Styela clava: one gene and its partner. Each later gene encodes a partner of the first gene's protein in a complex. Links are inferred from orthologs where the notes say so. Each region holds a gene or a part of one and is shown on either strand. Other genes may lie near its edges.

Evidence for each region.
Region 2: exosome complex component RRP45-like (region 1) and exosome complex component MTR3-like share a complex: the UniProt entries of both Homo sapiens proteins name them as parts of the RNA exosome core complex. The link is inferred for Styela clava from reciprocal best matches to the Homo sapiens genes EXOSC9 and EXOSC6.

The regions. Positions count from the first base shown.
Region 1 is NC_135252.1:17,067,021-17,082,645, forward strand, and holds exosome complex component RRP45-like, read right to left. Parts: upstream 5,335-15,625; 5' UTR 5,242-5,334; coding exon 4,078-5,241; 3' UTR 3,663-4,077; downstream 1-3,662. Other genes in the region: coiled-coil domain-containing protein 13-like, read right to left, coding at 324-439, 925-1,043, 1,308-1,377, 1,791-1,930, 2,451-2,566, 2,984-3,114, 3,490-3,603; uncharacterized protein LOC120343169, read left to right, coding at 10,709-10,823, 11,226-11,405, 11,679-11,909, 12,518-12,689, 12,959-13,085. UniProt on the Homo sapiens protein: Non-catalytic component of the RNA exosome complex which has 3'->5' exoribonuclease activity and participates in a multitude of cellular RNA processing and degradation events.
Region 2 is NC_135259.1:16,247,849-16,263,856, reverse strand, and holds exosome complex component MTR3-like, read right to left. Parts: upstream 6,200-16,008; 5' UTR 6,157-6,199; coding exon 6,063-6,156; intron 5,682-6,062; coding exon 5,505-5,681; intron 4,519-5,504; coding exon 4,427-4,518; intron 4,032-4,426; coding exon 3,834-4,031; intron 3,337-3,833; coding exon 3,220-3,336; intron 2,233-3,219; coding exon 2,074-2,232; 3' UTR 1,680-2,073; downstream 1-1,679. Other genes in the region: ADP-ribosylation factor-like protein 5A, read right to left, coding at 567-612; superoxide dismutase [Mn], mitochondrial-like, read right to left, coding at 6,525-7,217; uncharacterized protein LOC120338528, read right to left, coding at 7,960-8,670. UniProt on the Homo sapiens protein: Non-catalytic component of the RNA exosome complex which has 3'->5' exoribonuclease activity and participates in a multitude of cellular RNA processing and degradation events.

The DNA of each region.
Region 1 (15,625 bases):
GGTCACAATCGAATACCAATAATTCACTATTCTGAATATGTTTACAATATACATTCAATAAGTTACAATTCAGAAATATAGAAAAGTTTTTACAAACGGTAATTTCATTAGTCTCATTTTTTACAATTTTCAGAAATAAAATAAAGTGTTCTTTGGCCATATTGCAGGGCTTTCACTGCTTGAAATTCATATTTTTAAAACGAAATTATTCAAAACAATCCTAAAATCAAGAAATTAACAGTAATATATATATTTAATAATTTTGAACAGATTCGAATACTGACTTAATTTTTTTGGTATTTGTGGAAACATTCAACACCTACTTCACTTTATCTTGCAATGTCATTATTTGTTGAGTTCTTCCTCTGAATCCTGATCCTCCACTGCTTAATATAAGTTGCATAGTCGCTGGTGGTTCTCCAATCTCTTGTTGCAAAACCTTATTGTGTAGAAAACAGCATTTAGAGCATCTTTTATCAAAGGAATTTTGTTGTTCTGGGGGCGGAAATATTACTTTCTTCCTGGTGTAGTTTCATCGATGTTGTTTACTGTTTTCATGAGGATACTTAGAAGCTATTGAAACTGTGTAAAAGTCAGAGTGTGAATTGCACATAGCACTAACTCATACGAAGTTTTTTGAAGAAGTAATGAAGAAATCCAGAATAGACAAAAGCTATCGAAAAAGGTTGGAAATCACTGATGTAAGGTAACAAAGTACGTAGTAGAATATGGAATAAAATCGCTAACTTATATTCATTTGCCTAAATTTAGAGATAAGTTAATGAGAGTTAATAACTTGATAGATTTAATTTGATGTTATTCTCCTAGATTATTCTTAGATGGTGAATAGAAGTAAGCACATTATAAATTCCTCCACCATCAAGTCCATGCATCTCAAACAAATAACTGGCAATTTCTACTCACTTTGTTGGCAATCTTCAGTTCCTGTTTTAGTTCTTGTATCTGATTTCTGTATTCTGCCATCTTTATATAACACGATTGTAATTTGTCATTCAACTCTTCCACATTATCTGATGGAACTTCTACGGACCAGAAAATAAAACACTGGTAAATTGTAAATTATTTCATTAGCACCAGGAACAAGGATCAACAGTTGTGGTCTCATGCTAAGCGATGGGAATACACTTGCTATTGCATTGCTAAGAAACTGCAGTCTATGTAGCTCTTGGCAGTTCAGAGGTCGCCAATAACTTCGCTCAGAGATCAATCTCCTATATTTCTGACTCTGAGTAAGTGTGTGAACTTGCTTTGAGCAAATTTTATTATTAAACAAAAAAAATACAAACCTGGATTGATAGCAAGTGTATTGCGAGGACTCAATTTCTTTCTTGGAGTGCTTGAACTTGTTGTGTTGGTCTGAATTTAATGTCGAACAAAGAAATAAAATTACAAAATACGATCTGTTAAAAAATTATTCACACAAATCACACAAGTTAAGAAAAAACAATTTCCGAAAATACGTTAAAATTGAACATTTGTGAAACTAATAATTGACAAACTAATAAATTTCCACCTTTTTGCACTGACATAAAAAAGTGAAAATTATAATTGGAGTACCTTAACTGGCTTAAACTTAATAAGACCTGAGAAGCCATAAGACATTCCGTGATTCCAATAAAGATTTGCTTAACAAGTAAATATCAGTCATGTTCAAGTATGAGAATATTGAATATAAAATAGAAACTTTGGTTCAATCTTGGCATAATTGATCAAATACCGACTGAAAATACGCCAGTTAAATCATGAATCAAACCTCATATTGCACATACCGACTTTTCAAGTTCTGCCAACTGTTTCATAAGTTTGAGCGATTTAGTCTTTTCTGCTTCTCTTTCTGCTGTCAATTCACGATTTCGTTTCGATAAATCAACAATTTTCATTGCAGCCGTGTCTGATACAGCACCAGCACCTACATAAAAACAATTTATATATTAAATAAACGAAAATTTGAATAGGACATGATTTTGCCAAAGACAGAAATATGCTATTATATGGCAGAACACAGTCTCTTGTCTGGTTATCAAACAGGTTAAGTAACTAAATAATCGTTCCAGATGCATGGACAGAGAAAAAAAAAAACCTAATGCTATGTGAGCCGTCTGACGGACTGGCCCAACAATTCTCTCATACCGAATTGCTTTGCATCCAGTTACCAGTCCATGTTGGGTACTAGAACAGTTAGCCAGCTATTCATTTTGGATGCATGGACTTTAAGTTGGATAAACTGTAGAACAGTAACCAAAACAGAAAGTGTTCTACACTCAATTTACCCTCACAGGATTCAAAGCTGCGAATGCGGGGTATTCATCGTACGATGACAATCATGTACCAAATTATTAGCACGAAGCTCAAACCGTCTAACTACATTTTTTTAAATCAGAACATGAAAGGTTTCATGAAAGGTAATCTAATAATAGAAAGATACATACTTGCTAATAATTTTTTGTCATCTTCCATCTTCAAGATTTTTTTATTCAAAGATTTTATATCATAATCTTTCTCAGCTAAGTTTTTTCTCAGTCTACCAGTCTCATCCTTTAATTCCCTGAAATTGAAAACAAAATTGAATGTCACTATTTAATGAGAGTAAAAATATCTTATAGTGGTTCTTGCCAAACTGAAAGGATTAAGCTGAGAAGATAAGAAATATAGTAATTAGTGATCGAATTGATGACTGCTTAATGCTTATTCAGATCACGGCCAAATTGGCCGAATATTGGGTTAAAAATGCCAATTAAAAAATCTCAGAGATTCTTTTAAAACAAATGTAGTTTTTCGTAAGGATGTGAAACACCCTATAAACAAGTAACAAGATGTCGTAGACTGAGAGTTACCCAATCAAGGTCACTGGCTATAAGAGTCAATTTCTTGTTAACAGGTAAACAAACAAAACAAAAAAAATAATATTAAAAGCAAATTAATTTGAATTAAAACTTCAAGATAAACAACAATAAAATTTCACCTTATTTCTTCTCTCATCCTGGTATTGGCATCTTCCAATGCAGTGTGTAATCCAGCAATATTACTCGATGAAACGTCTTCAGTCGTAAGATTTAAATCATCACCAAGACCAAATGATTGACTGTTCGACATCTGAAAATAAAGAACTCTTCACAGAATTCTATGAGGCAGGTCGCATATCTTAGAACGTTCCAGCAGTTGTGATGAAATTGCATTATTATAAAGTATCCATATGTGGAGGCTGACAAGAAAATAGTTAATAAAATACCCAAATTTAATATTTTGTTATTTGTTTACAATGCTTAGTAATTGATCAAATTTTAATCATGACTGTAATTTTAGATTTATTAAGGAGCATAACGATTTCTGGTTCAAATCCCAAGACCCAGTTTTATTAAATTAGGTCGGAAATCTCATGGTCCTTCCGAATAATCTCCATTAAGTTATCAGTTTATGCTTATACAGAGCCTTGTTTGAGGAGAAAGCAACGTATAAAAACATAGATACCATGCTTGTATTGCTTTGTTGGCTCTTGGACTTCATTCTGTCAATCATTTTCTGTCTTTGCTGAAGCTGAAGATCTTCAAAATCTTGTTTTAGTTTCAAATCTCCTGATTCCATGTTTGTTAACCATAGATTTGTGCCTATTTGGCTTCACAATGTAAATTAATCAAGTTAACTCTGCAAAAATGACAGCCATAATTGTATGCTGTGGGTTTTTCAAAAGACGAGAAGTTAAAAACGAACTGTAAGTGGTTAGAAGGGTTATCTTGACTTTTGGAGGATATCCCAATACTCAAAATGTTTGAAAACTAGAGACCTATGTATTTTAGAAAATTAAGTACAACATAGAGCATGCTGTTGCATAGCTCATTTCAAAATTACGAAATAAATTCGCAACAGAAAAAGGTGGTTGAATATGGATGAATATTATGGAAAATGTCTACAGACTAGAGTAACGGTCCAAAAGTCTGTTTGGGAACAATGCATGCTAATTTGTGTTAAAATGTTTAAAAAATTCGAATTGCTCAAAAATATTAATAATTAATAACATTTAACAATATGATTTTATTATATTTAGACAAAGAATAAATTTCAGGTTAATTGCAACATGACTGTATCTTCTTCTTCATCACTTTCCATTTTAATATCTGTCTGTTTTGATTCAGTTTCCATGGCAACTGTAGCAGTATTTTCTATCCCGTCCTCCCCGGCAGTAAACGTATTTCCACCATTATTCATAACCCATGATAGCTTTTGTCTTGTTTCATTTTTATTTAATGGACCCTGAATTTCGTCCTCATTTTGTTGAATCACAGGTAAATGAACTTTAGATTCGACAGACGCGATGTGCGTTTTAGGATCAAGATCTGGTTTTGTTTTTGTTGAACGATTGGATAATTTAGTTTGAGACGATTTAAGACCATTCTTTTTTGCAGCTTCATCATTTGCGATTGCTTTTTTTACAAATTCACTGAGTTCTTTGACTTTTACTGAAGATATATTTGTGCATTTTAAAACTTGATCGCTACTAACTTGTACAACACCACTCATCTGTGTGCAACAAACTTCTTTATGTTTGTTCATTGCTATCATTAATTTACCATCGCAACAATTTTCTTCTAATTTAGTTGGATCGATAATGGATGTGGTACCATTATCAAAAAAGGCAAAAGTCACACAAAATGGCTGATGATTGAATGTTAAAGGCACGGGATGTTTTTCTTCAAAAGTGTGAACAGTTACTTCTTTTCCTATAACAGAAACATCTGGTCGTTTAAAATGTGCTAATGCTGCTAACGAAGCTATAGAAGCACAGTCCAATATATTTCCATCATGGGATAAAATCTGCACATGAAGTGATACATTCCATGCTTGTTCTCCAACTCGCACGCACAAGCTCTCCAGGTCAACAGCTTTTGATAATATTATAGATCGTTCTAACATTCGTTGCAATTCTATTCCAAGTTCTCCTGGTTTTGTGGGATCGAAGCTAGGTGATCCCATTGTAGACATTTCAACAAAAATACCCAAGTTTCCCTCACTTGATCTGCTTTCTTTGGGTCTGTCCATTTCTGCACGGACTTGCGCAAGGACTTTAGTTTTTCCCAAGCTGACAATACAACATCCAAAATCCATTTTAAAAGTTATTTTTATTTCCCGATAATCTGCAAAAGTTCTTCCGTCCATTCTTGTAGATTCTCCAATACATTTTGTGACAAATTCATATTCACAATTTGACAAAGGAATTTCCCTCATTCTGTTTTTGTAATCCTAAATCACAAGGTTATAATAAGATAACTCAAATTTCTAATTGACACTGAAGATATAACAAAACATAACACAATTAGCTTCATATCACAGTGTCAGGCATCTTATCTAGAAATGCTTAGAAATAGTACACTGAAAATAGTACACATACCAGCAGACATAAGGACATAACGAACAGAGATACATAAAGCAAATGAATAGGTTGCACTTAATTAAATCAAAAATTTAAGGTTTCCTCTATCTCCATTTATAAAAATAATAAAACAGCAATAACAGAATAAAAAAATAATGAAATATTTCACTTCGATCAAAGGAATAGGTAATAATGACAATTGAGCCCTTGCGCGTTGTTGATAAACGTATCTCTGTCTGTCTGTAGTTGAGCCTGCGTGGTTCGAAATGCATAAACGCCTGATACCGCAGTACCAGTACGGCGGTACAGTACTGCTGTGCTGTGATACAAATCCTCTCTGTCAGTCGAAAGGCCGCTTAAATCAGGAACCCCTGATTTCTAGGATTTCAGGCACAGAAATATCTATTCTATTACAGCATTACGATACATGCAGACATGTCTTTATACTGTTATAATCCTAATAAAAAGATGTAGGATAGGATTTACATACTTCTCCCTGGGGAGAGTAAAGCCGATAAGACGGCTTATCCATATGGCGAACCACGGCCTCTCGTCCGGTTACCATTTTAAGTCGGGTATGGTTAGTTATATTGTTTGTTTTCGGAAGCATGGACTTGATGGTGGAGGAAGCCGTAACCGACCAGCGGTTACATGAACCACCCAACGACGGCGAGGAGTCCAGCAATCCTCTCGCACATAACCATCCCTGCATGGGATTCAAATCTGCGAACCCACGCAGAGTAATTAGAGGTGCGGTGGCGAGCGTATTCCTAACGCTTAGCCCGTTGAGCCACACCGCCGCGCTATAGGCTAGTTCATGCTCTCCTACAACAGTACAGCAGTACCACGCGCTAAATACTGACATACGAATCACAAAGCATTCTACGTCTGAACCTAACTTATACTGCTATACAAAATGTACGACAGCTTATACAGTTATACTGTAAGTATAAGTTCATTTCGACTCTATAACCAGCATAATAGGCGATAAAATGTAATAGACAAAAACAAAACAAATAAAACTAATTATAGAATCGTGAGAGCAAACAAAACCTCAAGTTAGGTTTGAAACGTGAAGATTTTAGATTCTGACTTCAAAATATATCGCATATATTTTAGTATTTCTGTACAGCTCCACATTCAAACATTGTGAATTCAAAAGCTTTAAACTTTTTTCTTTTTTGCCAAATAAATACAATGCCAAACGGAATTTTTGTATTAATATTTTGGAATCGAATCATTTTATTTTAAATACGGTACATAATTTTTGTTTCCATGTTTTTTTGTTTTATAAATTTAAATCCCATTCCCCCAATATATCTATCAATAGTAGAGTAAAATCCAAATAAATACAAAATTCATACCATTACCATGTCCATGATATCATTAATTTAAGGTAATATAATCCATATATGTTCAAAGAAGTTGAGTTAATCCACTCGGCAGTTATATATAATTTTATTTCCAGGTAATCAGTTTATTTTAGTTAGCATGAAAAATGGAATAAAAATACAAAAATTAGTCAGGGAATACACTAATACAGGAATATGGAAAAAAACACGCTTTTGTACTGGGTTTTTCCTATTCGCCACCTATGTTCCACAGTCCATAGACCATCTTCTCATGAAAATGATGTAGGCTACCAATAATACAATTTCAATAATTTTCACAGTATGGTGTTGCATATAAACTTAAATCATGATTGATCTATGTATAAGATCATCCATGTGCTCATATAACAATAAATCATTTCTTTCGCTTGCTTTTACAGAAATAAATTTAAAATCCTTACCAGTTTACACTTAAAAAATGAACGCATACTACTTTTCATTTCATCTTTTTCATCATTTTTTACTGAATTTCGATATTCCCAAATTGTTGGACTTCTTCCCACCACTGACGAGTTTTTTCAAAAATGCTGTGTAAAAAATTACGGCAGTGCGAGGAGTCAAAATTAATTGGGTAATGAACATGATTCTTTCTTCCTTACGGAGTATGAAGAACTCAGTTCAGTATAAGTATAAGTATAAGTTTATTTCGACTCCATAATCAGCAAGACAATAAAATGAATGGTAAAAATAAATAAATAAATAAAAACCGATTATGACTAGGGGAATCATTGATGGTCACTTTAGCGATTAACAGCAGTTTAGTTTTGTATTATGCCTCTGGACTTGGTTTCTTAATTTTGCTACAAGTTAACTTCTCAAATCAATTCAATGTTTGTTCATCTCGCAAATCTACTTAGATTCTTATATCGACAAATGGAGGATGTGTTTTTTTTTTGTTTTGTTATTTATCTGCATTGCTGAATGCATCAGTTATTACATCAATTTTACACGTTTATTGTTACAACTTAGAAGATTCCCCGGACTTTATTGTCTGGTTTCAATTGTATTTATTTTTTCGGTACCCAATTTTATTTTTGGTGGGTAAAAGCGTTTTGTTTGATTTTGATCTCAACTTCGTGCATTAGAAGCTTAATAAATGAAATCACTGCCATTACGCTTGCAAATTCAAACATTTTAGTAATTTATCGCGACACAGAGAATTAGTATTCAGGCGCATGATTTAACTATTCAAACTGGCTGCGTATCCAATATATCTCCCATAAAGATCTTGAAACTGACAGGATAGCCTATACAGTATTCTGATTCATTGGCAACAGTTAGGACAAAATGAATTGCTACATTCCGCGGTTATTCCGAGTTGAGTTTAGGTCTCAAAACACATTGTTATAATCACAAAAGATATGTTGATAAAGTAACATTTATAAATAAAAATAAAATAAAACAAAATTGAATGAAAATGTTCATTCGTTTGTACTAGAGATACAGAATGAAAAGAAAAAATAATAGTAAGACAATTTTAAATTACATGATCTCAACGCATTGAAGATTTATACCTATAAACTCAAATTACCGTATTTTAGGGACTATGAGGTGCTCCTGGTTGAAAGGCGCACCGTCATTAAATTACTTATATTGTGCTTTTATCCATACAAATGGGCTATATCGGGCTAAAAGACGCATCGGTATTAAAAAAGCGTCGGGTTACCGTACAAAGCACTGTCAATAAATTGCCTAGCACTGCCATAAATTTATATATATATTTGTGTCACACTGTATCATACATCTAAACCAGAGGTGACGAACCTGAGGCCCGCAAAGAAATTTCGTGCGGCCCGCGAAGAATTCAGGCGATTCAGTATAATTATGTTTGTCGTAAAGTCATACCCCTTTAGGTACTGCACACAGAAAACGGGAGCGCCAGTGGTATTTATATTACTAGCAACGATAGGCTACATCTATTTTTGTTGGATCATCAATACCTTTGAAAATGGATCAAAATGTCCATTGTCTTAGCATAATTACGCTGTTTTATCGGCAAACGCATACGGTTAAATGGAGTAGATGTCAGGTGCTGAAATTGTAATGTTTTTGCGCACGATACACGAGATATTTAAAATTAATAAAAAAAATTATAACCTCAGCTCAATGATGGAAACAATGGAAGGTCTTGAAAAAATGCCTGCTTTTCAAAAATCGGTTAATCGTGACAGGATGGATTCGTTTATAATTTCTGAAAGCTTGCAAAATACAGATATTTTGTACAAAGCCCCCACTACTAATTTAAAAATGTGAAATTTGAGAAAAACACCGCGTTCTGAAATACCAAATTGGTAATTATTCAGTTGCGGTTCGGGTTCGGGTTAGGATTGATTTGGGGATTCGAATTTCCGGCGCAATCTGCAATCTTAGCCCCCACCCCAAAAACGTAATTGGGTTATTTATAAATATTTTTTTAATTTTGAGCGGAGGCGTAGGTTGAAATTACCGAAAGTGAGGAGGAAAGCATCTGAAAATTTTCATGCAACTGTCGTCGCAATTAGGTAGGCCACTTGTGAAAAGAGCCCACTTTTTTGACGGATGTCCTGTGGAAGCTGGATTTTCATGCTATTAAAATATTGAAACACGAGTCAAGCTGCATTGAATTGTTATTAGATTCGTCTGCTAGCATTCCATCAACAGACTAAGGAAGGGATCGAATGCCTGCAGCCACAACGGATAATGATTTTACTGTTATGTTATGTTGTCGAGTAATGATTTTTCAGTTGCGGATAGTATTCCAATGATGACCAATACGAGTTTTGCTTTATTAATTTAATTGTATGTTTAATGTAACCTGCGGTTGCGTTGACAAATTGAGAAAATTTTAATGAAATATCACAGCAATCCACGGCCATGAAAAGTATTACAAACAGCCCGATTATATTTAGTTTTGATTCGTATTTTTGCTTTGTTACGAATTAGTTATACGAATTAGATCTGTTCTTGCATCACTGACTCCGCTCTATCACAATGTTAACAACCAAGATTATTTTCAAGATATCGACGTCAGAGAAATCGCTAGATCTGCGATGAAATATTAAAGACTACAATTCATTTCATTCAGTACAATAAAATTTATTTGTACACTTATACACCGGTATAGTTGACCAAAAAATTCGTGTTAAAAATGCTGCGGTATTCGAACGAAATTCGAATCTCGAACATCCGAGCGGAGCTCGCGGCCGAGTGAGATGACGCCGCACCCAAAACCGAACTTGATCGATACAGGTCGAAGCTGGCAGACGAAAATCTTAGTATGCAGTTGGAAGTTTTCACATCGCCAGTTCGCCCTAATATAAAGAAAGCGCTCAGTATTATATTCATTGGATGTTTCTTTTTTATTTATTGCTGCAATATATAATTTATTAACATCAACTGTATGAATGCAATTGCTCGTTTTGTTGATGAAAATCAACAGGTATCATAATATGACTAAAATGTTGTGTGGCCCGCTCACTCAGCGGTGACTGATAAAATAGCACGCGACAGCAAATAGATTCGTCACCCCTGATTTAAACTAATAAGCAGATCATAGACCTGAACTCTCGCTAGTAACGTTAGAACTGCTGCAGAACGCATGAACAATACTCACAAACACAATGGTAAACAACTTGACGAGATGAAAAATTCACGCGTCAGTTTTTCACAATGAAGTTTATACACTATTTACAAAAATTTCCAGTCTTCCAATAATATTGATTTTTCCTGATAAACAACGTTAGGCAGAGTACAGATCAACCCGATATTAGTGTCGTTTTATTTCTATTGCATGTTTTATTGCGTGAAATGACGTAATCTCGTCTCAACGTGACAAGTATTGATCATGGTGAAGACTTTAGTTCATAACCATCCTAATTTTTAGTTTGCATTATTCATTCGTATTTTGAAACACAATGTATGTGTGCAATTTTATGGTAAAGCCTCGGGGTAGATGATACAACCTTGTTTTTGTAATTTATATAGAAAATTACTAGCGCAATTCGGAATGACTGCGTTGGATGAAATCATAATTTTACTTTTATTGGTTATGATGAAAATTTGCTTCGGTAAGTAGGCTACTGTAGCGTAATTGTTATATACACTGTGATAAAATTATTTGTAGCATATAAATATGAAAAGTTTATAAGTCTAAAATATATTTATTCGTTTATATTGTACCGAACTACAGGAGTTTACATGCAGTCATGCATATATATATATAAAGTATCTCTCTCAAATTCCCAAGAAATCGTATTTGAAATGGACAATGTTTAAAATATCCTACCTAAATAAAAACAGCTTGATAATCCGAAGGGTATTGGCTTGTCGTCGGTATAACTCAAGCTCGAACTCAAGATCTATTATTCGAAGCTACAGTGCTGTTTGGTTATTTGGACAACGATTCAAATTCAACTAGAGTTGAGGATATCCATTAAAATTAAAGCAATAGTGCCACAAATTATTTTCAGGACAAAGAGGAGTTTGGTTGAGTGGCAAAAGGTCGTATGAATATTATATTTCACCTGGAAACTTTACTGGAACATATTACGAAGCAGAATCATCCTGTAAAAAGGTTGGCGGAGAACTGGCGTTCATAAAGTCGGAAAAAACCCAACTATTCATCGGAAACTTGGTATTAGAATGTACAGGTAAATGATATGTATATATGTTATATTATATTCATATATTGCATATATTTCAAACTAAATATTACTTAATAATTGAGTTTTTTGTTTCGTAACATATTTTACGTGCAATTAAATTACTGTAAGGCTCAACTATAAGATTGAAGGATTTTTATATATACAAAGTTTTGCTGAGACCACGGCACAAACGCCCGATAGTCTTACGAGAAAGAGGCGTTTTGAAAGGCGATTGGGATCATACACTCATTTCTATTCCTAACCATACATCACAAATAGGGAAAGCATCAGGGTATTTCATTGGATTGCGCGACGTTCACAATAACGGCACTTTTCGGTGGAATGATGGAACACCGATGGAGTATCAGAATTGGAATGAAGGTCAACCAAATGTAAGAGGAATACAAACATGCGTAACCATGGGATTTAGACAGTCGGATGAGCAACTACGCTGGCATGATTATTATTGTGCAGATGGGGGAATGGGATTTGTTTGCCAACGAAAGAAATGTGAGTGTAATATAAAATGAGTTATGTAAATTTTTACTGCTTTGAAATATCAAAACATTTCTATATTGAGAATCGGCACGTTCTTGAGGCATGAGTTAATTGTCTGAAATTGCAGTGCCCCTATGATTCATTCGTTACATATGCATGTGGAAAACGGAAACATAGCAAATAAACATTTCTATATTTTTATTAAAACAGATTTGAAACAGCTGTGTGGATAAAATGAAAACCCGTTTCACTGCTATGACTCAGAATAAGTTAAATATTTATTAGGTCAAATTTCTCATTTAAAGCATTCCAGCTAAAAACCATACAAAAACATTGATGACTATTAACTTTTTGAAGTAGTGTCATTTCTTTGCCAATGCGCGTTGAAAAAACTTCTGTTAAAAGTAAGAAGTTCTAGTTAAAGCGATAAGCGCAGGTGAATTCATTTGTGCATTGCAGCAGTAAAAATAATACTTCGTCATATGCCGTTGTAAAACGTGATCCCAGCCCATGCAACCATTACATGAAGGACTAGATCATTACTTTTAATACAAAAGCGAATTTAAAATAATATAGCTATTCTTGGCACGTCTAATTAAATACATGATTGCATTTTTTAGGTCCTAGGGGATGGACTCGTAAAAAGAAATATAGAAATATTAAAAATTCTTGCTTCGATGATCGTGGCTTTAAATTAGATGCAGCAAGTTTTATGGTTGGATTCACTGCACCATTTCTTTTACTAGTTATTGTTATAACAGCTTTTGTAATGTATCATAAAAAGATTAAAAGGTAAAAAAAATATATTGTTTTTCTGTGTATTACTTATATATGTCATTCAGAGTAATAAAACCCAGTAACAATACTCAAGCTTCGTAGTTTATGAATTTATATATATACAACAAACAAAGCTTTAGATGAGAAGCTAGGCTATTTAGGAAGTACCTTCAAATATATTTTTTCAATGATATTTAATAAATATATTTAGTTGGTTCATAAAGTCAAATATTTTTACTATTTGTAACTTTACTCAAAGATTCATATTTATATCTTCATTTCAGAAATAAACCTGATAAAGAGGCCCAAGTAAAACAAGAACCTGATAAAGAGGCCCAAGTAAAACAAGAACCGATTTATGATGTTGTAGCTGCTGATGACTATAGACTGGAAGACAACAAGAGCGTATGAAGGTATGTAGTTGCAAATGCAGATCAGCACATTTTATGTATGTAATTTACAAACCAATAATTATCCAAGTACACTTATGCATACATTTCAGACGCACCTCAGCTATTTGCAAGAACTTAATCGAGGAAAGCAGGCAATGGCATTCGCACCCTCTTACACGACGAGCAGAAAATAATTCGAAGTTGAAAAAAATTATGAAAGAGAAAACTTCATTATTCAAACTGCTGTGTTTCACAAACTTAACATTATTTGCAAATAGCCATACAAACTTAACGTTATTTGCAAATAGCCATAATACTATTTCGTATGTTGTTGTCCGCCTGCCTGGAGTCTATTGAACCATAATCTCAATTTAACATCCATACTAAAATCATGCAGAACATGTACTGCAGGCATTAGCAATTGTTATTTATACTCTATAATATATTGTATAAGTATTTATGTTTATCATTTTAAATCATTTAAATTGGCATATAATGGAAATTAGTAAAGATGACGATGACCCGTGTTTCGAAACGTTCGGAAATGCTGGTACAATATTTAATATACATAAACGGTACCAATGCAGAAGTACAAAAAGCATGAATTGAGAAGGATGGTTATTACAATACAAGAAAACGAAAAATTTGGATAAAAGTGCAATGTTAGACTTAGTTTTTGGCTTTGACGAAGATTTTTATATGCAATAATAATATGTACAATTTTCGTGATTGCCTTGAACGGACTTTTGAATATAAATGGCCATATATCGACATTTGGCAGTAGCATAAGATATTTTGTCGATTCTGGAAATACACATCACATTGTCACTGCAAGAGAAAATAGCAATAAATTTGCAATTTTCGAAAATAGCGAAATCGATTCAAGATGACAAAAAAGGTTATTATGAAATTATGATGCAAATAAGAAATTCATTTTCAACAAAGAAGGGAGCACTCCATCGCCGAAAAATGAGTCAGTAATATTGTAGCGAATTTGGATTGTAACTATGGATTTTAATATTATTTAACCCTTTCTTATTAACAGTATGTTGAATTCAATGAAACTGGTCATTTTAGCTGTTTCCCTGATTATGATTTATCGCGACAGCTTCAAGCCTTAGCTTTGTGCGTATAGCCCTCTTTTGTATCGACCAATTGGGATGACGTGTGTTTCCGGCCTTCGTTCGGGAGTTGGAATATAGCGTGTTTTTCATGTTCTCGCTATTCTTACGTTTTGGATTCGAACTTAAAACCGTATTAAAGTTTAAGTGTATACTTGGATTCAGTTGGATTGTGCATCTTTACAATATACGAACATTTGGCATACAGCACATTGTGTGCTTATTGACTTCTGAGGAGTTCAGATTGCAGTTATACTCTATTAAACGTGTGTCAATACAATACCACGTGAGTGGACAGGCAGATAGGGCCAAGAATCCCAAATATTTATGATAATCACCGTCGTGTCTGCCGGACAAGGAACCATTAAGAATTTCATATCAACAAGTTGAAGACCAATTTCAATATTGTTTATTCAGAATTTTAACAACAGCGACAAGATTAAAAGATAAGTAGGATTCTGAAAGCAGTCGAAATAATTCAACCCTCTTAGAATGAATTCGAAGCAAATAAGTATAGCAATACAAACTACGGAGTTTTCTCCTCGTAAAACTACACAATCTATAATGACGCCGCCAAGTACCCCGGAAAATATTAGTTCTCAGCAGGAATCAATGGCGCGAACGTCGACTAGTTCAAGTTCAACTGATGATTCTAAAGTGGGAATGCTACCTGAAAATTATATCAAGTTTTTAAGCATTAATGAACGCGAACCTATTTGGGAACACGATGTTGACCAATGGATTGACATCGTAACTACAGACTTCAAATATTTCGGAATCCAGGATCCCGAATTTAAACTGCGTTACCTAATTCAGAGTTTTACGACAGAACAGTACGCTAAGATGAAAGAATTTATGCCAGATCGAGACATTCCGGTAACAAAAAAAGATTATGACGACTTCTTAAACGCCATCAAAGAAATGTTCGAGTTGTCTTTTATCGAGCAGATTGAGGCCCTAGGACTGGGCCCTAAATGCAAGAAAATGACGCCTACACAAATATACAGCTTGATTTGCCGCAATTTAGATTTCTACACGGTAAATAACAAAATCCCAGAGCAAATATTGGGATTTTACTTTGTTCGACTTGTTCCAGAATCTGTTGCTATATATGTGAGACGACTTCTCGCCAGAAGTGGAACTAAACTCTCAATGAGTAAAATTGTAGAAATGGCAGAGAATTTTTGGGATATCAAGTGCGCATTAGATGCTGCTAACGATCCACAAACAAAACCACATTCTGATACAGAAGCTTACGCTGAGTTATTGGCAGAAATGAAGAAGATGCGATTGGAAAATCAGCAATTAAAAAGTCAGTTAGACAAACTTTTAGAAAAGAAATAACTTACTTGCATCCAGGGGAGGTCGCTACGCTACCCGCGAGGGGAAATGTATAGAAATATTTTTAGTAAATTAAGAAGCAGATGTTTGTTTGAAG
Region 2 (16,008 bases), on another chromosome or scaffold:
GAAACTGCACTAGACCCCTATAGTGAATCATAGCTTAAAGGAATACCAAATTCAGATTTGCAAGGAAAATTTCAAATACCCACGGACTGATTCCAAGACTGGCAAAAGCAAAACAGCTGACTACTACTGTACTACCGTAACTTCCAATTCAGAAGAGTAATTATAGAATTCTCCTCAACTTCGATTTAATTAATTTTAGAATTATATTAAATGGGTCATGAGCAAAACGAAAAGACCATGTCCAAACATTGAAGTCTGGAAGTGTAACAACCCAACATCACAACATAAACCTTTTTTTTTATACAAGTACCCGTAGGACTTAAATCGTGACTATAACATCAAAACGTTCAGCGTATCTGAAAATGCTATAGCCAATATTGTTTGATTTTGTACAGCGTATCGGTATCAGTCGATATCTAAAACGTTCTAGCTAATCTAGCTCACAAATTCCAGAATTTTGATATTACAAAATAAGTCATTTTTAATTTTAAAAACACTATAATTTTGCATTCAAGTGAACATGAACACATAACCAGATCATAATATTTATATTTTAAAACGGTTACCTTCATTGCTGAAAAGCTTCACAAGCTTAGATAAAAGAAATCCCATTATCAACGCGACTTGAAAGAGAGCTAACTGGCTTATGGTTCCTTCGAAAACGACGCTAGGTCAGCTGAATGTTTTTACATATCCCACGCGCAAAATGAGCATGTTCCCATCCGAAAAAATATCTTTGCATATCAGTAATCAGTAATCAGTAGTTTATTTTTTCACCACACATGAAATACACTAAATGCATACGGAATGTAAAAGGGAGCAAAAACGGATAATTGGAGGTGAAAGGAGTCGCGAAAACCAAAATTGGTTATCGAGCAGCGACACCTGAGCTAAAGTCTAATAAATGAATCATAAAACAATGAAAAAAGTCAAACAATGAATAAAAGAATATAAAGAAGTGAAAAATCGAGACGACCTGAATCCAAGAGACGCTCGAAACACAGAAAAGCAAAACCAAAAACGACTCCAAGCACATATGTGCGAGTAACTATGGGAACGGCAGCAGGAATGCAGTACAGTGCGATGACAGGATACCGAACCTATATCGCAGCATTATGGAATTGATAGATATTTAAACAGATTTTAAATATATCCCGGTAGGGATATTATGCCGATAACACGGCGTAATCATAGTTATAAATGTATCATGACGTAAAAGTGATAAGATTTTCACGGAGGTAGAGGATGGGCTGTGTGTAAATATATATATATTTTCAATAGCTTAAAACTTACCTATTGTTGGACACGGAATGGGCATATGGATTGTTATCTCATAACTAGTCATTCTTTTCTTCATCTGGTGAAGAATCGATTCTCTCATATTTACTACTGGACCACCAACATTGTATTTTTCGCTATGTGGCTACTACTCTTATTTCAAAAATGTCTGTCGGATCCATGAAATTCGTGTTTTGTGTGCGATGATATCATCAAAATTAAAAATTGCGCTCCATGTGACGGTTCTGCATTCGGTGGTCAGGCGAAGTCGTAAAAGCTGCGGCACTGTGAGCGATTAGACACCCCTAAAACTGCGCTTTGGCCTTAAGTGTTCATATATCTGAGTATTACTCTTCTATTACACATTAAAACTCCAGAATACATTATTATATTCCTCTCACTCCAGAATAGTTTATTAACATGATTGTTAAAACACGCATGCAACAGATATCTGCTATATTGGTTTGTACAGGGTGGTCGCTAGAAAAACAGAAAATTTGTCAAACAGCTATTCATTTTTACAAAGAATAACTTTTACAGTTTTCTAAAGGCATATGTTACACTCATAGATGTTCAAAATGTCGTCTGCGCACTTCCAATCAGCGTCTATTGTTCCAATCTCGTTTTAAAATCATCATATGTAAAAATAAATACTAGTAGCCATTTGACAAACTTTCTGTTTTTCTAGGAACCACCCCACACATAACAGTTTCGCCAAGCCTGACCCAACCATCAAGCATACTCCATATTCGATACGCATCTTGGAGGTGCACTCCTATCACATTGCTGTAAATATCAGGTCTCTTCACCATCTGTAACATCATTTTCATTGTAGGATTCTATGACAGCTTTTTGCATAACAGAATAAATACTTTGTGCTCCATCAGTACACTTTTGTATGGCATCTGAGAGCATGTCACAGTCAATGATGCCAGTTGATACCATGCCAGAAACCTGAGGCAAAGATGACAATTTTGTAACAAAAAACATATCAGATAACAAATATAGTGATTTAAGACAAGCTTTTATCATGTTCACGAAGGAGGCTTTCTTCTATCCAGCTTTTTAACTCGGTATTCTCTAGAGCAGGAGTCACCAAACTTTTTTGACCGCAGGCCAGGTATGGCTTAAACTGTGTTGAAACAGGCAGGACCATTATTCAAAAATATACCGCAAAGTCTACATTTCTGAAGACTTTAGAAGAATATTGAAATTTCTTTCCATATCGCAGAATATAGAACGAGAACATCATAGCAAAATACAAGATTTCTAAATCTATACAACTATCCTGATGTTAGCTGTTAGCAAAATATTGCTGTCAAAAATATCTGCATTTAAGCAGCACAAAGGTTAATTTGACTTGTGAAAATGGAGCAGTACGCGAGAGATTACAGTACTATTAGCGCAAAATGCACGTTCAACGTTCATTTTAGCACAAGATACGAACACAGCAACAGTTTCACCAAAGCACGCGCCATGTGTGCCATTTTTTTGTGGTATTGCAGGCCAGATGAAAGAACGCCGCAAGCCGGATCCGGCCCGCGGGCTGTAGTTTGGTGACCCGCTGTTCTAAGGAGTTTGGTGGTGGCCTTTTATTGTCATGCCTTTCGCTCAGAACAAGGCCCTGTACAAGTAGCCACTGATATCTAAAGCTACATTACTACTATTATTTGAAAGAACCAGAATCTTTCTGAATCGGTATCACCTCCCCCATTTATTACATTCTGCGATGCCAACGCAGTTGAGTCATCAGCCATCACAGTCACACTATCCGCCATCTTCTGTAAAAGGGATAAGTAAACTAGAGGAACAATACTAAACTAAATAGCTCAGGTATCCACTGCCAGCTAGCTTCCCATATCAGTGGCGAAGAATTTTCAAAAACAATAAAATTTCTTCGTATATCCCTTTCATTATTATTCAATATTATCTTTAGTTCACCTGGTTTAAAAGTGGGAGAAGGGCAACTGTAACATTTCCTTGATTTATGCATAACGCACCATCACTTGTATTGGAATCAAACTCTTCTAACGCTGTTGGATCATGAATTAACATATTCTGGAAGACACAAAGATAGGAATAGAGTAGTAGTTTTCAACCTTTTTGTTGGAATGGAACTCCAATGAAACATTCCAGACACAATTCTCCCTAGTTGAACAATATACATCTCCTGGATTCGCAAACTAAAGTCCAAACCAACAGTGACGGGAGTACCGTGTTCCACATAAACATAGATTGGAAGTTGAGACTTAATATTTATCCTATCTTTCATTACATTTCCATGCTTCACCAATGCCATTACCAGACTATGGGAGAGGGCTCCCCTCGGTATCTCACAAGACTATATAAACCAGAGCTCAAAGCTTAAGCCGACCCTCGTGCTTAGCAATGTGAGGGTGTTCCTAAAACTTGCAGGCTGTTTAACAAGGGTAAATGTGCTAAATAGAGGCGTTGGGCACAACATTTCCTAGGCTGTTACTAAGTCAAGCAGCTTAATTAAAGTATTTGTTATCATAACATAAATAGACACTTGTCCAGTAATAAATATAAAATACCTTTCCTGATAGTCGTACATTGTAGGATGTAACCATATCATACATTTCAATAGATGCGTCTGTTAATGCAAGCGATGCCGCCATGATACCAGCAGCTAGAGAACCTCCATCATTTTCTAATACAGTGACATAAACATCAACTTGTGCTTTTGGAAATTTGTGCATCAATACTGCAGGCTCAAGAGCTTGTGCTAAAATCTGAAAAAAGTTCGATGCTATATTTCTAGATTTCTTTCTCTGATAGAGTGAGAAAACGAAACAGATAACAACAAAACCACACTACTGATAATAACCTATTTAGAATTCAAATATGAATGTTTGATTGGTGCAATTGTACACTCACATAAAAACAAATAGTTGAGCCAAGATTCTTATTAAGCCACATATTGTTTTTTCACCAAATTAGAGAATGCTCATCAAAGCAAGTAAATGTAGTTCAAACCAGTAATATAGAATATTACTACATACTTTACAAATATAATTAATTGCAAATTCCATTCAAACTAATTTTTTCAAGATCGCTAGTAAAATAAACTGTGTACAAGTAACACAACATATGCTTTGAAGATCTAGCAACAAAAAACTTATTATACTTGTGAATATTCCATTTCTTGATTGTCACGTATATGACCTCTTCTTTGTTTACATGAAAATGGAGCAAATTTGAATTCACATTTCAACACACCTGTTAGAAGATAAAAAAACTGACGTTCAAATGTATTTACGAAAACCTAATAGAAATTTCCAGTTTTAATGTTTTTTCCAAGAAGTATTTCCAGTCTTTTCTGAATAAGTAGTGATTCATACCTTTTCAAGTTGTACCTTTTTATTTTGTGTGATATAAAATTAAACGCTTTTTCTCGCCACTTCTGTTTCAAAGTTCATCTCATATGTGTCACATTACTATTGTTGCTTGATTGTTAGTTACGAGTTAAAATGTTTTATAATTGGTAAAATATAAAATGTAATCTGTCAACCTTTTTCGTGCCAGGAGAGTTGTTTTGATTTAGTGACCGTATGGTCCTTCCAACCTCCTATCAATTCCGTTGTTAGTCGATTATCCTTCTTTTACTTATTGAATGTTGTTAATATTTGTGTTTTTATTTGATTTGTTGGCTAATACAGTAACTGGATGATGAATAAATTCCTATCTAAATGAGACTAGGGCTGGGCATTTTCGAATACCTGGTGATTTCAGAATCCTATTGAATATTTATTTGGGAATTGAATCTTGAATACCTGGGAGATATATAATTGTATGCACATTTTTATAGTATATTTTTATTGGTCCTGTCAACAAATGAATTATTGAAAACATAGAATACATCATTCACACAAAATAAGAAACACGCTTTATCAATAACCCACTACGAAAAATGGTCATATGTAGGATTTGCGTCGAAAAAATATGGCTTTAATAAAAAAAACTTGCTTGACCATTGGCGGGAAGAAAAAAAAACAAGATGGTGATTTGGAATTTTGCTCTATACTGATTCGAATATTATACTTTTGGAAATGCCCAGTCTAAAAAAGACATTGCCTGACATACTAATAAAGTCATGCTGACTCGTAATCGTCTTGAATATATCACACTCAACAACATTACGATAAGATTTATTCTGGCTACAACTAACTTGTAAACATGAAAAATCAATGCAAAATCAAGTTTACCTTCCATTTGAAAATCATCTCTTCTTCCAATATCTCTAGGTCCATATACAGCACAAATAACTTTGGTATTTTTCATTTCTATATATGATGAACCTCGAGCTTGTGATATGACACCAGTTTTCAAAAATAATGGTCTCACTTCATCTGAACTTCTTCCATCAAAACGACGGCCATTTTCTATGAAAGAAAAGTTGCTTTAATTTTGTATTTGAGGATTCTGTTAACCAACTAACTCATGGACCGATATATTAAAAAGATGGGCAGTAAAAAATACAAAAAAATAGATCATTGGTAAATTTCTCAATAGCTGTGATGAATACATGAGTAAAATTGCGTCCCATAATTTTAAATCATACATGATTACAATTAGCTGAAGAATCAGGAGAAATTTACACCTCATCCAAATTATGAGACAATTAAAGTTAACGTAATTTCTACATTGGCTTTGAAAAGTTTAAGAATATGAATTCGGCAAACACATACCAAATTTCACAGCCCTTGAAACAACAGAAACATGATGAGCAAAAACAACAAGATAAATTCAAAAATCATAATTACCCAATAACTGCGTTGTTTTCTTATTATCAGAAATAAATATATCTGGACTGAAGCTATTTTCCGGAGCAGGTATTCTTCTTGAATCGGTAGGCATAATCGCAAGAAATAACTATAACTTTGCAATGTAACTAGTTGTGAATCTCTGTGATAAATTATACAATATTAAACAGATTTTACCTCAACGATGGAATAACTGTTTATGAACAATTACCAATTACATTATTGAATAGTAATTCAAACAAATTCAAACACCTGAAGCTTTCGATATATTTAAAAAAAAAATATGAATATTTTGCAACAGAATATCACATTAGTTTAGTTGTGAATAGAAAACGAAATTGGGTGCCATTTTGGTATGCGATCTCATAAAGACATGAATTAACCCTCTAAAATCACTAAGATCACACAAATGCAGAGTTCGCATACCAAAGTGGCAACCAAAATTATTGTTGTAAATAACATTTATTTTGACGCTGTTTCAAATCTGTCTGAAACATTTGACCAGTTAATAATATCAAATATAGCTTTAACATAGTCAGGACGAACATTTTTGTATTGAAGATAATAAGCATGTTCCCAGACATCGATTCCGAGAAGTGGTATCAATCCAGTAGTTGCAAGCAATGGATCTTGGTTAGCACAAGTCGTTATTTCTAATCTTCCACACTCTCTATTGTATCCGAGCCAACCCCAGCCAGAACCCTGAACAGCGACAGTAGATGCAGTAAGCTTTTCTTTCATTTTATCAAAGGAGCCAAAATCACGATTAATAGCTTCAGCTAACTCTCCCTGAGGAACTCCGCCACCATCCGGAGATAAATTTGTCCAAAAGATGGAGTGATTGATATGGCCGCCACCATTGAATTTGAGAGCAGGAGCGAGATTGATTATTGCCGTTGCATCGCTCTTTACTTGAGCTTCAGCAAGTTTCTCCTCTGCTGCGTTTAGATTGGTTACATAGGTAGCATGGTGTTTGCAATGATGTAATCGCATTATTTCTTCAGATATTGTCGGTTCCAAAGATTTGTAATCATAAGGCAGATCAGGTAAGGTGTGCTTGCTCCGCACACATGTAATAGAACTTACTAATAATCTTGATTGAAGTCCACCCACAAGCTTCCCTCCAGCATTTCGAAGGCTCATCAGCATATTCATTATAAAGTACTGTGTAATATAATTGCATAAAACCTGAAAGCAGAGTTACCATTTGATTAATATGGACACGATACAATTAATCCAAATTGGGAAAGAATGAAATTTTAAAAATCATTTTATATGAAAAAAAGCTGGCATGAAGTCTCAATCACTAGAACAGCATAAACTCTCATTCAGTTAAGATAAACCCAAGTATTGAATTATTTTTAGATAATGATATTTCTGCCAGACAATCAGAAATAATGGAATAAGCTGCAACTGGCCAGTGATTGCCGAAATCATGTTGAGTATCCTTTATAGGTATTAGCATATCAGGTTACATTGTTGCATATTTTACAAGTTCTATGTTCGTAATAGATAATCCAATATCTTTCCAGTTCTGCTGAAATGCTCTATTTTCATAACCATATATATGTAACTAGAATTCTCAAAAAAAATATTGGATTATAAATTCAGATTTACCAACAAGAACTTAACAATCTAAATATTTGAATTCAATACTAACTAGTAAATTATTTCTTGCCTAAGCAGTCAAGGCCAATTACATTTCGGAAACATCCTAATTGATTCTATTACTGAATCAAATCTTTACAATTTACATCACACAGCATGCTCATTAGCCACTTTTTCTGTCTTCCTGAAATTTAATAAGGGCAGTTCAACCCCAAGCACTGGCTTCTCCAGTGACACTACATGATGAAATGATGGATAGTTGCAAAAGGGTCAAAAAAATTCTGAAACGTTACACCACGTTTTTTGTGTTCGCATCTGTCAAAATCAAATTGACACCATTAAATTTTTTATCCGATACAACTTTTTGCAGTCTTTGAATTTCATAAACCATGTGTTTTTGAGTTCTTTTACTTTGTATTTTCGTTATTCCCTTTTCATTAATTGTCTTAAATCCTTCTAATGGATCTGTGTCTTTCAATTTCTCTTTCAGCCATTTTGGTTTTCGTTTTCTTTTTTTCTTAGTTGAAACAATTTTTGCATCAGTTTGACTATCGTCAACAGAGCTGATAATTTTAGTTATATCACTCAAAGCGAGAGACATTGGCTTCAAGTCACCAACAACAGGAACATCTGATCTTTTCTTTGCTGCTTTTTTGCTTTCTTTTGTGACTCTCGTCACTTCTAATTTTTCCAAAAACTTTTGACGTTTTAATTTTCTTCTTTTTTTCTTATTCAGATGAATGTTAGATGCAGCAGATTTTTCCTGAACATTTACAGAAGCTACATCTGAAGTGAAATCAATTTTCTTTTCCTCATGTTCCTTTTGATCAAAGGAACTAGTTGAAATCTGACCACCACTGAAAGGATTTAGTGACAAAGGAGGAAGCTGGATAGTATCCAAGTCTTTGGGTACTCCGATTTCTTGATTTGTGCTTTCTTCAATTTGTGAATTTTTTGTAGACAAGTGGAATTTCGTTCTATTTCTTCGAATTTTACCCATTTTTAGCACAATAGTTACACAATACTTGTCTCAGCTGTGTATAAAAAAAATATTAAATTTACTTTATAGAATATTCAGGTCTCGAGTAGTTTCGTACCTCAAGTACTTCCAGTGGGCATAGCATAACAATTTTTGCACATGCCAATCCTAACCCCCACCTGACTACGCCATGCAAAAAATTAGGTCACTACGACGTCGCAATCCTGTCATAGAGCTTGCAAAAGTATAGCTATGATCGCCTGAAATGGCATATGCATCAGAGAGCATCATACTAGTCTCAATGATGGTTTAAATCAAGCGTGATATGTCTCCGCCATCAGTCCATCACATGACCAAAATTGCGATTTTTGGCTAAAAACTATCGAAATCTAATTTTTTTAGTAAATCAATATTATGTTCTGATTAAAGAATCCAATGGTGATGTCTTTAGATTGCACTTCCTTCTGGAACAGATATCGACGCCCAGACTGTCTCGTAAAGCAGGGGTGTGCAAACTGCGGCCCGCGGGCCGAATGCGCGGGCCAAAGCCCATACCAGTCATATTAGCAAAACAAGCTAGCAAAATTCTGTTTCAAAATACACGATTTATATTACAAAAACGTGTTTCTCACTGCATTCGTTTGAAGTCGGTGCGACAAAAAATTTAAATAGCAGTTTCTTCAGAAGTTTATGCGTTTTAAATCTACTATTTCTGCAAGAACCCCTAATAATGCCGTAAGATCAATAGCAAATATAGGCAATTTTTGTGCTTGCAACTACCAGAAAGCCTAAATTAAATAAAGGTGCGCCCGCGGCTTCACCCAGTTACTTGTATTTGGCCCGCCAATAAAAAAGGTTGCACACCCCTGTCGTAAAGGATTGGTTCACACCCACTATTATGATTGATGTTTTTCAATGTAGGGCTATTCTTGCAATTGGAAAACTGTGCCGTATTGTGAAACAGTACAGCAGTAATACAGCTAATAATAAAGAACAAAAATAAAGCATAAATACCAGTCAAGAAACAAGTGCCACTACAGTCTGACAGTTGGAAATTCAAGATGCTTCGCTCAGATTAATACAAATAAACTATAAAAAACGCAATATCTGGAAGTCGGAATACAGGAATATAGAATAATCTAGCCTATACATCCTTGCTTAAATACTGAAATACCACTAAACAAAAATGTGATGTGAAACTACAGAACTACCCAAATTTTCATTCTATTTTTAAAATAAAAGTCCTTCATGCTCGTACACAATACTGCAATACCCTAAACGGCATAGGACATACATACAGTACCAGCTTAGTTGAAAATTGAGCAGGTTTAATTTGAATTAAACGTGTGCTTCAAGAATTTTTTTCTTCGACATACAGCATTATAGACTACGATATTTTTTAATTAGGCTACATTAAAATTTCAATTCACATTTTTGTTTAGCGTTATTTGCACAGTTACCGTATGGCTTTACTGTACTAAGCCCTCGACTCACACAATCCCTCACAGTCTCACACAAACACCCATAAAAATCAAAAAAATAAATTGATATTAATTCATACTAAAACAGTAAAATGTGAAAATCACGGCAATCCTGCAATCAGTCGTTCGCAAAAGCGACATTGCCATCAATATACTGATATATTAATGGTATAAACTCTCTGGTAAACTGGTAAACGCTGTTTTGCTCGCTGACGAAGAAAGAACAAGTTTGGCCAAATAATTGCTCAAGTGTAAAGCAAGATAAACCTTTGGCTTCAGTAGTCCATTTTGGAAAATTGACAATTTCAATGGGACTGCTTGTACTGCGAAGGCACGCCGATCACTGCAATTCTAATTGCCACTGTCATATCAGCAAAATCCTTCAGCAAATAATACGCTGTCATAAAAACATATTTCTAAAATTCTAATTAATAGTCACGGAAATGTAGAATTGTAAATTGAACATTATTATGTATCTATCATCTGATAACACACAGCATTTATGATCGAATGAGAGGTTCAACAAAATATATCTATTACAACAAAATAACGTAATATTTACAAAAGAAATTGAAAATTTATTAAATTGACACCAAATTTGATCAAGATCCGACTTTGTTAAATTGACCCAGAATTTGGACAAGATCCGCTTTTGGGGCTCAAAAAATATTTTGTGTATGAATTAATGATACCTTCAACATGTTTTTGAACAAATAAAGAAATAAAACAAAATCAGATCTTGTTTATATTTTGGGTCAATTTCACGATCTTCGGATTTTTAAGAAATTTACGTTATTTCGTTGTATAAAAGTATTTTGTTAGAAAACTGATCGAGTTTTTTTTTCAATTTCTTTGTTTGTTTGAAAACATGTTAAAGATGTCAATCCATATCCCAAATATTTTTCAAGCCTCAAAGGTTGGTCTTGTTCAAATTTTGGGTCAATTTGACGATTTTTCGGATATTTAGGAAATTTATTTTATTGCGTTGTATGAAAAGTATTTTGTTATCATTTGGTATTTACGCATACATGTTTTTGACATGTATACAATATTTTATTGCAATACTTACATGATGTTATCATATCAAAGTATATATTCTTATTTTATACACATGCGACTGGATACGTTACTGTATTTATACACAAAAATGTTAGACGCAATTTGCTAAGTACGATTAAATTCTTTTTTGAGCTTAAATTTTATAATGAAACACGTTTTAAGACTTCTTGTTTTTTAGCAGCACGATTTTGCTAAATAAATAAATAAATATACTCTTGGTCATTATAAACACAGCCCACACGGAAAAACCACAATTATAGAAAAAAAAATGTTTATTCGTTTCAGGGTTCATGAGACGTACCATATCGCGTTCTGGATGCAAGTGGGCGGAAGGCGCCATTGACAAATAAAACGTTAAAAACTTAGAGCCAACCTGTAATAATCAGTCGATTGACTCGATGTATTTTTTTCTCAATTTATTTAAACTTAGTTCGACTTTTTCTTCTGTATAATATAGTGTTAGACTTATTTTATAGGTGCCGCTGCTCGATAACCGGTACTGGTTTCTCGCGTCTCCTCCACCTGAAATATGGCCTATTTATAATTTAATTTATTGCAATTTGTATGTTTGTGCCTGTTTTGAGTATGGTGAGAAATAAACTACTGATTACCAGCACACACTCACAAGAAACACAAACCTTGTTGAATGAGGCTTGAGACTGAAATAAACACAAAAAATACGTGACTGCTGGTTCATTTTAGGATAGGGATAGTATATGATTTACATATTCATCCCACGGGAAAGGAAAGTCGATAAGACGGCTTAATCATGTGGCGAACCACGGCCTCTCACCCGGTTACCATTCCATGTCGGCGAGGAGCAATCAGCAATCTTCTCGCACATAACCATCCTGGCATGGGATTCGAACCTGCGAACCCACGCAGAGTAATCATAAATGGCGAGCGTATTCCCAACGCTTAACACACGATGAGTCACACCGCCGCGCCCGTGCGTCCCACTGCAGCGCCGGAAGCAAATTAAAAATGAAAGTTGAATTTTTTTATTGGCCTTCATTTGAATAAGATTCAATAACTATCTCGTGCGTGATAATATCCGACAAGGCGTTAGGAAATCATACACCCCCCTGTCTATGCCGCTGTCCATGCAAGATGGAATTTAAAAGCAATATTCTATTCCATTTCATAATGTATGAAGGCTTTCGAGCTATGGAAAACAATATTTTCAATGATATATTTATTCTTCAACTTGGTATGACTGGATAGAGGGTGGTGATTTCATTTGGGTTGGACATTAATTTGAGAAGACGTGGTATTCAAAATATCGATAATGACGATCATCACTTTAATGATATAACACTTATTAAATATGAATGAAACCATCCCAAGTATGTCACCGAAGAAAGTTTCTACTGCTTGTATCAATGCACTTTATACATCCATTCAGATAGTTTATTTCCTGTTTACTTCCGTACCATTCATAATTTTCTATTACATGTGCGTAGCATTAATTTCGAAAACTTCGAATGATATCGAAAGTTTGAGCACGATGAAGCTATAGGCCTACTTGAATTTAGTGTTTCGGGTTTCAAAATTGAGTATATAATAATAAGTATAAAATTATATTTGAGTTTAAATTACACAGTTTTCGATAACCGTAGATAGTAGCGTAACGAAATTGCTAGCGAATGCGGCAGAAAGAGAGAGAGAGATTCTACGTGTTGCTATTATCAATCAGGACTGTGCTTTTTGTTACTTCCTATATCTAGAAACGAAACTTGTTTTCTCAAAACCAATATGTTTTGTATACTGCTCTTTTTTTGCTAATTTTATACATATCTATAAGCGTTTATAGAATAAAATGCAATACAAAAATTCATTTTTGGTGTGTGTGCAATAGAATGAAACTCATAGTCCATTACAAATAGTCGCTGCTTTGACAGCTTTTGAAATATTGACGTAGTTATACGCCGTCCGTGTACGCATATTTTAGCATTTTTATATGAATCCATCACACTTTGATTGTTCCACAAAGATTGTACACAAAGTTATTTCCAAAATAAACTCAGTTTCCTTTTTGAATATTCCTTTTTTATACAAAGTATCTGCACAGTTTATGATGGCTAGTAGGGAGGTTCATTCTATTTGTATTATTTATATCACGCTTATAGTGATATCTTCCAATGGAAAATGTTTTTCGAATAAACCACCAGACAAAAAGTTACCGGACAACCTCCCACCTATAGTTAGTAAAACTAGGTGAGTTATGTTAGTATATATAATTCTTGGTGAAACAAAGCTATAAACACCAAATTTTAAAGCTAAATAAATTCTAGAATCTAGACAAGGGGGTGGGCAAGGTTTTTAGACCGGGGGCCAAAACTTTTGCCCATCTACACTGACGAGGCCATGTAAGTATGAAGGGAAAGTTACATTTTATGGACAGTATACACAGTGTTACAAAAACAAAAGCGGAAAACGATAAGCCTCATGCGAAAACAATTTGATCGCAATCCCAACAAATTTTGGCTAATTTTTGCTAAAACAGCAAAATTTGGTTTTAGTTTGGTTGTGGCAGCATCAGGCCGGCCAGATTGAATTACCCAACGGGCCGAATTTGGCCCGCGGGCCGTAGTTTACCCATGTCTGATCTAGACTATTGATTTGCAACCCGGGTTCCTCCAGTACAGCCCAAGGGTTTTGTTATATATTAAGTTGTTATTGATCATCCTGTTATTACTTTCTTTCTTTTCTTCTTGTTATGAAAAAAATCGCTTTCTCATTAGCTATCACACTAATTGCAGTGAAACCTCCAGTGGTTAAGATTGTATTTTTCGCTAAAAGATTTTTTTTAAATTTCTGTGCGCTCCATGGGATTAGTTTTTTGTGTGCGATGACGTCATCAAAAATCGCGCACATTGCGGCAGTTCCGCGTTCGCTTCTATCTGGTGGTCAGGCGAAGTGGAGAAGGCTGCGGTGCCGGTAGACTCCTGTGAGATATTTCATATCCGTACTACTTCTTTTGCCTTTCGACTTCATGTCTATGAATCTGAGAATCGAAACCTTGTTATTTTCATTGACGTTCTTTTGAGTTCAATTTAAAGTCTCCTAGTAAGTCAAACTCCAGTACAAACTGTTTGCAATCTTTTATTATACAGGCAGAACGAAGGGGTCGTTTTGTGGAGATTAAAGATAAGCAAGAGAAGCCTGGAAAAAGAAGAAACATTCGAACAAGGTAACCTCAGACAAATTTATATTTTTCACATTTTTTCCAATGCTATCGAATCTAGTCTAACCAACCTTTACTAAAATAAAGTTCGTGTATCACTTACGGAAAAACTTATTGTTCCGTCGAAAAACACGGACGAGGAAGTCCCGGAATATATTTAATCGATGATGCATCTTTCAATAGTTTTTGTAGTATCATCTACTAAGTTTTGAGCAATTAAATGACACTTGAAGAAAATTTGACACAAAGAAATTGTGTTTGTTCCTTTTCTAACTTTTATTATTTTCTGAAAGTTGACGAAGACATCATTTTGTTTCAATGAAGTTTCTCTCAAGATGAAGATATAAGAAGTACTAAACACGCAAAATCTTGTCAAAACCCCTCAATTTCATCTTTGTGTAATAAATTACATTTGGTGTATAAATCAGTTCAACTTTTCAAACTTTAATGTATTCGCCTAACTAACCTATTAATATTTATTACTGGAATTTCAGAATCCTATTTGAAGGAAACTGAATGTGAAAACATTTCAAAGTACTAATGTTTGTAATCAAAATGGGCAAATATATTTCGACATAATGGCTGCAGTGTCATGATTATGTTGTTTGCGCTTGCTCGTGACTGGCATTTAGCAAAGGCATTAAAATGCGGTAGACCTCGATAGAAAGAGATTTATTATTCGTCAACCAGAAAAAATATACAACAATATACGCAGTTATTTAAGTTATTCGGTATAGACTGGGGAGAGCGATACGATCATGCGGTCAAACTCATCAGAGTCAGCTCCCCCCATTAGTGCTCAAATTCGACATCGATTTTAATAAATATTAGAAGTATTTAAAAATATAAACACGAAAACATGTAAGCATGGCGACATCAGCAAATGAAATAAAACTATTCAAATTATTCTTTTAAAAACGATTGTACAGGGTGTCCATAAATTTCTTTTCAATTTTGTTATGAAGTCAGTTCTCAGCATATCCTAACCAGGTTTGTTGATTTTTAATCAGTAATTGTATAAGTATTTTTACTTCATTTAATACATCTGACAGAACCAAAACAATATATGATATCGATAAATTCACTTTGCAATTTTAATTTTTTTTTGGACTCCATGGACACCGTATATATAACACAATTTCAAAAAAGCACTTGTATCGCCAAATTAAATGAAATTTTGTTGAAATGACAAATTTGTTTTAATCAGAATTGATATTTTACTCGTTTTATGAAGTATATGGACAATAGTATTCAATTATTGCGACAAAGAGAATAAAATAACTGCGCGGATATGGTTCGAAGCCATCGCTATATATCCAAGATATATATGCATTGAATAAAAAGCTTCGATCTCAAATAGGAAGGCTTGCATTTCACGAATTCATGGAAATTACTGCCTGAAAATGGTTTGCATAGAGCAGGGATACTCAACTGGCGGACCGCGGTCCGAGTCCGGACCTTTCGAGTATTATTTAAACTCCGCGGCTGCTTCTTGACTTCGAATGCATCGTTTCTTTTTATTTAATAATCGCAATGCATTTTTCGCTAAACCTTTGGAGTAAAAATTTTCATGGAAGTATAAGTTTCTCAGATCATCGACTCTCTTGAACATTAGTGTGTTTCTGTGGCTTT